2 linked regions of the Daphnia pulex genome follow. The protein of the gene in region 1 binds, or shares a complex with, the protein of each later gene. Links are inferred from orthologs where the notes say so. Each region holds a gene or a part of one and is shown in the gene's direction. Other genes may lie near its edges.

The links. The genes of interacting proteins can lie anywhere in the genome.
Region 2: gem-associated protein 5-like (region 1) and gem-associated protein 2-like share a complex: the UniProt entries of both Homo sapiens proteins name them as parts of the SMN-Sm complex. The link is inferred for Daphnia pulex from reciprocal best matches to the Homo sapiens genes GEMIN5 and GEMIN2.

Annotation. Positions count from the first base shown.
Region 1 is NC_060024.1:12,896,808-12,901,936, forward strand, and holds the start of gem-associated protein 5-like, read left to right. Parts: upstream 1-1,770; 5' UTR 1,771-1,897; coding exon 1,898-2,102; intron 2,103-2,166; coding exon 2,167-2,291; intron 2,292-2,348; coding exon 2,349-2,586; intron 2,587-2,654; coding exon 2,655-2,695; intron 2,696-2,764; coding exon 2,765-3,049; intron 3,050-3,108; coding exon 3,109-3,463; intron 3,464-3,525; coding exon 3,526-4,062; intron 4,063-4,136; coding exon 4,137-4,288; intron 4,289-4,344; coding exon 4,345-5,018; intron 5,019-5,087; coding exon 5,088-5,129. Other genes in the region: E3 SUMO-protein ligase RanBP2-like, read left to right, coding at 1-35, 129-244; CD63 antigen-like, read right to left, coding at 473-622, 688-813, 869-1,039, 1,121-1,300, 1,380-1,445. UniProt on the Homo sapiens protein: The SMN complex catalyzes the assembly of small nuclear ribonucleoproteins (snRNPs), the building blocks of the spliceosome, and thereby plays an important role in the splicing of cellular pre-mRNAs.
Region 2 is NC_060025.1:2,087,011-2,090,620, forward strand, and holds gem-associated protein 2-like, read left to right. Parts: upstream 1-1,426; 5' UTR 1,427-1,502; coding exon 1,503-1,606; intron 1,607-1,677; coding exon 1,678-1,762; intron 1,763-1,820; coding exon 1,821-1,976; intron 1,977-2,046; coding exon 2,047-2,157; intron 2,158-2,212; coding exon 2,213-2,491; 3' UTR 2,492-2,630; downstream 2,631-3,610. Other genes in the region: endoplasmic reticulum protein SC65-like, read right to left, coding at 1-88, 158-482, 547-599, 664-1,024. UniProt on the Homo sapiens protein: The SMN complex catalyzes the assembly of small nuclear ribonucleoproteins (snRNPs), the building blocks of the spliceosome, and thereby plays an important role in the splicing of cellular pre-mRNAs.

The DNA of each region.
Region 1 (5,129 bases):
CCATAGCAATGACGATCACGGAGACTATGTCGAAGGCAAGTTTTAATGAACATCCGGAGAGAGGAGATAGATTTTTTCATCGTTAATAAATGTTCCGAGAGAGAGCTTAAGCACCTAAGCTTTTGCAGGTCAATCCATGCCATCTGAAGGAGCCGTCACGTCTTTCAAGCCGGCAGTACTTGTTCGTGCTTGTGATCCAAAATTAGCCCGAGCGCTATCAGATATTTTAAATGATGTGAATTAAATGTTTTCTGCCTATTTTTTGGTAGGTCAGGGGGATACCCCCCTTTTTGATATGACGTTTCTTTCAGTTGTCAATGATTGAACTCACTCGTTTTTTCACCCTCGATTGTACTTTTGCGGGCCTTTCCACAGTGTGATTAATTCGTAACAATAAATTGAGATGACCTGATACGGGCGTCTATTCTTTTCACAATCAAATTTTTCCTTTTTGTAGCAACAAACAAATTAACTATTGATAGACAGGATCACTCGGAACGCAGCGGACTAGAAAAATGACAAGAATGATTTGAAAAGGTAGGAATATCGTAATGGCAATCCCAATTGCGGTTATTTTGGCGAAGAGGGCATCGACCGACTTCATCATGCTCGAGACACAATCCTGTAAAGTGAGAATTAAGTTTAAACTAAATTTAATGTAACTGATTAATAATAATATTTAATTACTTCTTGGTATATATTCTTCAGATAGGAAGTGTCGCATCCTGATTTAACGCAACAGGAATCAGGAATGAATGAATATCCTGCTACGCTGTTCCAGTCCTTGTAGCTATCAACGCCACAACACTGGAACTAAACCAAGCGCTTTATCACGTCAGCCGACTAATTTCCAAGTAAACTAATTTACCATTTGTTGGGTGATATCCATTCCAGTTTTCCCACTTCCGTCGGGATCGAAATACATCATTTCGCGCATAGACTCTCTAATGTCTTGCTTGACTTTAGTACCGAAATCAGGACCGAACGCCACCAAAAGTCCAACCATGGCAATGAACAACAGTACGAGGAAACCTGCATACTGTCAAGTGTCAACGTCTCTTTAATACGATTCACTACGGATACAGATAGGGAGAAAGAAAATTATTTTTATTTTACTCACTATGTAGTAAAAAACAGAACTGCCGTCAATAGTGAAACAACAGTTAAGCGTCGTCATAACGATCAGTATGACTCCTATGACAACAGCAAGACTTCCGATTTTCAATTCAGCCGAGAGTATGGATGTTAGCCGAGTAGATTCTTCAGCTAGTCCAAATCCAAGTAAACACATTCCGAGAACCTACCATGTTTCGTAATAATTACTTGTGTCACTCATTGATTGCAATGAGTTTTCGTAAATAATAAAGAATTAAGCGTACCAGTAATAGAACATTTATGAACAAATGTAGAAATGCACAAGCGAAACTGCATCTTCCGGTCTCCATATTGCTCACTGAAACTCTGGAACATGACAAACAATATCAGCCTACATTCACACATCTATCGACGTTTATGAGCGTAAGCTATTCTTCGAAATAAGTGACGAATTCCTTTTGACGCGCACATTTCGAACAAGGTTCGTTGATTTCTGATTTGATGAGGAACAATTCGAGCTACCCTTGGAAGCGGCCAAGAATTGTTTTATTTTATGCAACACGAAGGATCGCTCATGATTCATAATAACGAATTTTTTCTGAGCGTTATTTAAAGAATTATTACAACTTCTTAACTTATCCCATCTCAAAAATAAATTATGTAATATCTGCTTTTAGTAAGGTTTACTGTTTAGCACCACCTTTGTCGTCTGTGCACGTTGTTTTGAAATTGTTCGCACATGGTGCGTATATGTAAGATTTAGTTTTCAACTTAAAGAAATTGTACAAGTTAAACTTGTAGGATGACAGAAAATAAAAAAGAGATTGTGATTCCTCCATCTCCAAATTGGTATCTGAGTGGTGCTTTTGAATGTCACAAAAAGTCTGGAGTATTAGTTTATGCTGCTTCGCGATGCCTCGTCTTTGTGAAATCTTGTAATGTAGGAGATAATTTCAGTTATCCTACAACTAATGTCATCCCGGACGCCCACAGGAATAAAATTACTTGTTAGTTTAGCATAAACTTCCTTAGGTTCACTTTTCAATTAATCGGTTTTGTTTTCATATGAAGGTGTGTCTTGGTATCAGCCCTCAGAAGAGAATAATTTGTTGCTGAGTAGTGCTGGAGAAGATGGTTCTATTTGTATATGGAAATATAATGATTTGAGTCTTGTATTTGAACAAAATGCACATCAGGTAATATTTGTAAAACATATTGTCAAGCTACAAATCTAATTTGACATCTTTTTCTAGGAGCAAAAAATTTCTTGTCTAAGTTGGTCTTCTCTACTGGATAAGAAAATCTTGGCATCATCAAGTGAAGATGGGACCATCATAATAACAGAGCTACTATTGAGCTATGAGAGTTGCAGCACTCGGAAGCTCAATTATGGGAAAATAAACCCTCTTATGCTGTCATTCAATCCCCACATTCCATGGCAGCTGGCCATTGGCTGTAAAGGTGGATTGCTGTACATATGTGATGTTAGAGGTAATGATTCAGTACTTGCTCTAACATTATCATGATTTTTCATCACACATATCATTGATTTCATTTAGAAAACCGTGGTATAATTCATAAACTGCGAGCTCACGAAGATGTAATAAGTTTAACCAGTTTTGCGTTTTCCCATGAAGTGTCGTCATTAATTCACAACAAATTCTTTTAGGATCTACACAACATCGTTTGGTGCCCTTTGAAAGGAAATGTATTTATTTGTGAAAAAGAAAAGAAGGAAACATTCTTGGCGACTTCGGGCCGAGATAAAACTATTAAAATCTGGGCCACTAACGAAGGAAAATGTGTCAGCCAATCAAAACTTCCTGGCAATACTGGAGTCCATCGCCCTCGGTCTACTCAGGATGATAAACGTGCGACCTGGGTAGCCTTACATTGGCTAAACGAAAAACATATTTTGAGCAGTGGACTCAGTGGTGAACTTATCTTGTGGGAGGTCAGAATTTTAAGTTAAATTTTTATTTGCATGAATTTAATCAATTTGTTTTGCTGTAGGTTGGGCCCAAATTGTCTTGGAAGATCGTTCACAAGCTTCACAGCCGTGGACTCTTCAATATTTCTTCATACATGACTGGAGAAAACCAGGAAATGATTTGGACTTCGGCGCAGGATCGTAATGTTATTCTTTGGCCCATAGTGGAAGGCCACGTACCAAAAGAAGTGTTAGGCATTCAAGAAATGGAGAATCCGCATCTTTGTATGCCAACCATGGGTGGTTTCATCTACGTCATGAATATCAATCCCATCGATTCATCCCAAATGGCTGTGGGATTGGGAGACTGCTCCATCAGACTATGGAATATGGCAGCTGCGAAACCTGACATGATGATGCTGTGGAATGGAATCAAAGGTGATGAATATATAATCTACTTATGCAGTATAGAGAGTAAAATTGCAATTCAATCATAACAGGCAAAGTGAGTGGATTAGCGTGGCATCCGACAATAGAGGGCCGGTTGGCATTTGGAACCGATGAAGGACGCGTAGGAATATTTGACACACTGTCGCTAACTAAACCACCTCAATTGAGTCGCACTTACCACAAGGGTACCGTATACAATTTATCCTGGGCTACCCTGCCGTCTAAGGAAGGGATATTCCTCTACTCTTGTGGTGGGAACAACATTATGGTTCACGATCCATCAGCATTAGATACGGAAGCAAAAAATTTCAATAATTTGATCGCAAGCAAAGGAGAAAAAAATCAAAAGTTCCCTTCGCGTACGGAATTTCAATGGAAAGTGGACTTTTCTCTTCTAGCCGTAGGCAACGAAGACGGTTCTGTGGAAATCTATTCAGGCGGCGATTTATCTTTGCTAACGATTATCGTTGCGCATAAAAAACTTATTCAATGCCTTAAATGGCATCCGCCATTCACTTTCCAAAGTGTGGAACCTTCCAAATTTGAAAACTGGTTGGCAGTGGCTTCAAACGATGTGAACATCAAAGGTACGTGTAAATTTTAACTATCTTGACCCCTTTTGTTTTATTGACTGACTGACGCCTTTTTACTTTTGTTCCAGTTTTTAGCGTCGTCGTTGCCAACAACGACGAACCCGCAACATCCACACTTGCGGCTACTCTAAGCGGTCATAAAGAACGTGTGGTGTCGGTGGCTTGGAGCCCACATGAAGATGGAAAGCTTCTTTCTGCCAGTTATGATGGAACCGCACAGGTAAATCATTCTTAGACTTTTTAATTATACCCTTTTATTTTTACTTGCATTTGCAGGTTTGGGACGTGATCAACAAAGAGCAAGTGGCTAATTTTGGTGGCCATACCGGAAGATTGCTTTGTTGCGAATGGAACGCATTAGAACAGGATACGGCCGTTACAGGAGGAGACGACATGACTATTCGAATGTGGAAAGTTAAAGAACAAGTCTACAAGACACCTGCCGAATCTATTGCAGTCAAAACGTTGAAGGAACGAAAGAAAATACCATACAAACCCCCTCAATCTTCTTCTTTTGTTGGTCGCCATGCAACTTCAAGTGGCACAACTAAAAAGAAGCCACCGAGTAAGCTGAAATCATTGTTCCCGGTTAGCGCCACTCTTGAAGCCCGTGGCCGAATCGAGGGTTTGAAAGACTGCAAAATATTGGCTACCCTGAAAGGAGTGACTCTAAAACATTCCGTCATTGGCGAAGATCCGGAATCCTTTACATGTCCTGCCTCTGATTTCGGAGATGCCGAGTTGGCTCATCTGGGCTTTTTTGCTAGCCGGGATTCCACAGTTCAAATGCTCCAGGAGGAGATCGACCATCATCAAGAAGGTTCTAATTCAGATCTAGCAGCTCATTTGAGAATCTGGCAAGGAGATGTCGAATCGATGCTACGAGAAGCTGTAAAGAAAAGGCAGCTTAATGATTGGCTTGTTAGTTTGGCTCCTCAAGTCTCTTTGGAGTAAGTTGGCCATTTTTTAAATCACAAGATGAGACTCGACGATCATTAATTGGAGTATTGATCCGATAGGTTTTGGAGGGAAATGGCCCATCTGTACGCCCAGCAGCTGAT
Region 2 (3,610 bases), on another chromosome or scaffold:
GGAAGGAGATCGTCATGTTTCTCGCCATTCAAGTTTCCCAGTTTGTTAGCACACTTTCGCTTACAGCGCAATGTGAAAGTGTAGTGATCTAAACAAATAATCAATCTCCATATTTATAGGTACCACTGAAACCTGCTTTGATGTTGTATAAACATACTTGAGATGCTGGAAATGAAATCAGGAAACCAGCCTTGATCAAAGGGACCCTCACAATGAGCTCTGCATTCTTCTTCTGCTTGCAAGTATTCTACCAAGGAAAGCTCCATGTTGGTTGTAGTTCTGTCATAGTCCTTCTTTTTGTAGGATTCACTGCCACGAATGTAGAATTCAACATAGGGTTTAGCTTCAAGGTTGATGACATAGTTGGGATCCACTTTCAATTCATTGATGAAAAATCTAAGATTTTCTTTCATCACAGTATGGTTTAAATTCATAGTTAAGAAAGTGTAGGCACAGGAAGCTGCCTTGATATTATCGTTGGTCTGAAATAATCCAAACACAAAAGTTTAAGTAAATAATAAAGAAAATGTGATGTAGGATACTAACCTTGAAGTAGCAAAGCTGAAGATAGTCATAAGGTTTCAAAGTGTCAAAATCATCTGTTTAAAATGTAAAAATTTTTAAAAACAGAAAACATATTTGATGAAGATAAGACTGTCTAACCTGCAACTTTACGGTCAACAATTTCTGCACGGTTCTTCAAAATATCTTTCTTGCATTTCAGTAAGCAAAGTGTCTTCTTTATCATCTTTTCCCATAATTTCATATCTTCCAACTGTGGAGACACCAACGGTTTGTCAAAAGATTCCTTGAGACATTCCAATCGACAGCCCACCACAGCATCTTTGTAAAAATGATAATCTTCAATGGCTTCGTTCATACGCGTGACGCACTCATCCCATTGCTCATTTAGATATGCTTCTACTGCCTGGCTGTAAAGAATATCGTACGAATTGGCAGGATCAGCTTTTGTAGCAGAGCAAAAGTAAACCAAGAGGGACAAAAAACAAGCTTTAAACAACATATTCTTACAATATATAATAAGGCTTGACAAAATAAAATAACATGGGCAGACTATGGAGCTATGGAGCAAGGGGAGGTTATCTTTGTGACTGCTCCACGTTAACAGTCAAGATGCCCTATGCAAAGAAGAGGGGTACATATATGCGTGAGAAAACATCTGTTAAAAACCTTAAACAAATTCTCGTGTTTCAATGTTTTGACTTAAAAGCAACATTGCCAATTATGAATAACGCAATCATGAAATTAATTAATCTTGAATTCTTTCAAATTTGAATTATATTTTTCAATTGCTGGTGGTTTTTTAACCGTGAATCGTGAGATGACAGGTAAGTGCAATAATTTAAATTTTTAAGTAAATAGAGCTGACAAATTAAAGTGATGTAGATGTCGCTTGCGTCTGAGCAAATAGTGGCGCAGAACCGCAGACGACAACTTAAACTTCAAAACAAACAACTGAAATCATTTGTGAAATTCCAGGCATGGATGAGTTCCTCCATAAAGCGCTTTACGTCGAGGAAACAGACGAGGATATCGATTTTGAGTCTGCGCCCAGTACAGGCCAAGAATACTTGAGAAGAGTTATGTAAGTCATGAAAACTTGTGTGTTAATAAATTGTATCACTATAAATTCATGCTGCCGGTTTATTTGGATAGAGTCGAATCGCGAAAATGCGAAGCGGTTGTAGTTGCCGATATGAAAGGAAAGAAGCTCAAAGCCCAAACTGTCAAATACACTACGGTAAGTTTCATTTTATTCAAATTTATTGATCTAGTCTGTCATTTCTGTGTAAATTCAGGACTCTGGCTGCCCACCTGCACCAGAAGTTTTCCTACCTTCAAAAGAATGGCAACAATTCCAAGTCTCTCAGTTTTCCTGCCTCAGGAGCCGCATGGCAAAACACTTGGCCAGGCTGAAAAAACAAGGAATTCAAATGAAACCGAATACAACCCTGGTAAGATCTTTGCTGTTGCAATGGCTTCCAGATAAATGAGTTTGGTCTTAATTATCCCTTCCAATTGTAGCCTGCTGGAGACAAAGAAAAGGAATGGTCAGTGTTGTGCTATGGTAACCCTGAGGATGAAAAGCCTTGTGGAACACCACCTATGCTCCCCATCATTTTATCCCTCAACCAGGTATATGAAAGTCACCTACTTCTCAGCATTCACACTATTATTTCTGTTGATGCAGTTTATGGTGGAGACTCTACTAGAGTACAACGTACAATGGCTGGAGGAGACGAATTTTACTCAGCAAAGGGGTCAGTGGCTCTACGCTCTACTTGCCAAATTGGAGAAACCTTTGAAACCCGAAATGTGTAGCCTCATCAGAACACTGGCACGTTTGTGTAGCACATTCCGAGTTCAATTAACCTCGGTCGACGACCCGCTGTTGGCCCAGCTCAATCTTTTCATATGTCTAGTCGGTCGTTACTTTGATCAAAGTGATTTAGCCGATCCGATGAAATGATTTAAACGCGAACAACGAACATTTCTGGTAACACATTTCCCGCATTGTATTTTTATTTTATTTTTCTTTTGCTCGCCATTTTGTAAGAAATAAAAAATGACTGATGGTAAATATAGTAAAGATCGTGGGTGAATAAGAACATGCATGTGGCTGATGGTATTACATTTAACACTTTTTTTGTTTTTTATTCGGGAGGGATAGGAAGAGGAGCTGAGTTGCATTCGTTTTTTTTTTCTCCCCCATTTTTCAGTGATGGCAAAAGTGGTGGGTGAAAATAAGAAGATTATAGCAGTTACATGTATAATAGCTGGAGGAAGAAAGAATTGAAGGGAAGGTCGGACAGAGATTTTAGAATTAGAATTTGCGTGTGTTTCTTCACAATTCCATTGATTCAACAGTATATAGAGATACGTTAGAAAAATTTGAACTTTCCCATCGATTGAACGAACCAACACAGGAAGGAAACGAAAAAGTGTAAGGAGAGGCGATGCCAATATATTTCTTATATATATTGTTTCTTTTTTATTCATTTTTTTGTTTTTTGTTTTGTTTTATTTACTGCATCCAATCTCCTCCGTTGTGTTCTCCTTCAGCAGATGAAACTGTCGCAAAAATTCAATATTATATCATGAAACATTTTTTCTTCTTTTTTAAATATTGAAAGTGTGAATGTGACATCTGGGATCGACGGCGGAGGAGAAACTCGACAAAGTAAAAACGGATCCGACAAAAAGGAAAAAAACAAAAAAACACGATGAAAAAAAGGGGGGATATAAGGATATGGCCAAATATACTTTGGATGGAGGGTAGAGGGGAGCATTGATTTTATGTGGGAGGGCAGACACTGGGGACAAGAGGTAGCAGCAGCAATAGCATAGATGGGCGGGCGTGGTGGTGAGGGCTGGTAAATAAAGAAAAAGAAATTTTCACGTCTTTTTTTCTTTTCTTCTTCTCATGTGAACGACACGCAGCAGTATATAAATGATGATGTTAAGACACAAACACACACACACACTCACATGTACAAATATATTTATTATTATATTTAAAATGAAATTTAAAACTCAAGTGAATTTATTTTCTTTTTAGTTTTTTTTTTATTTTGTGTGTATTTTTATT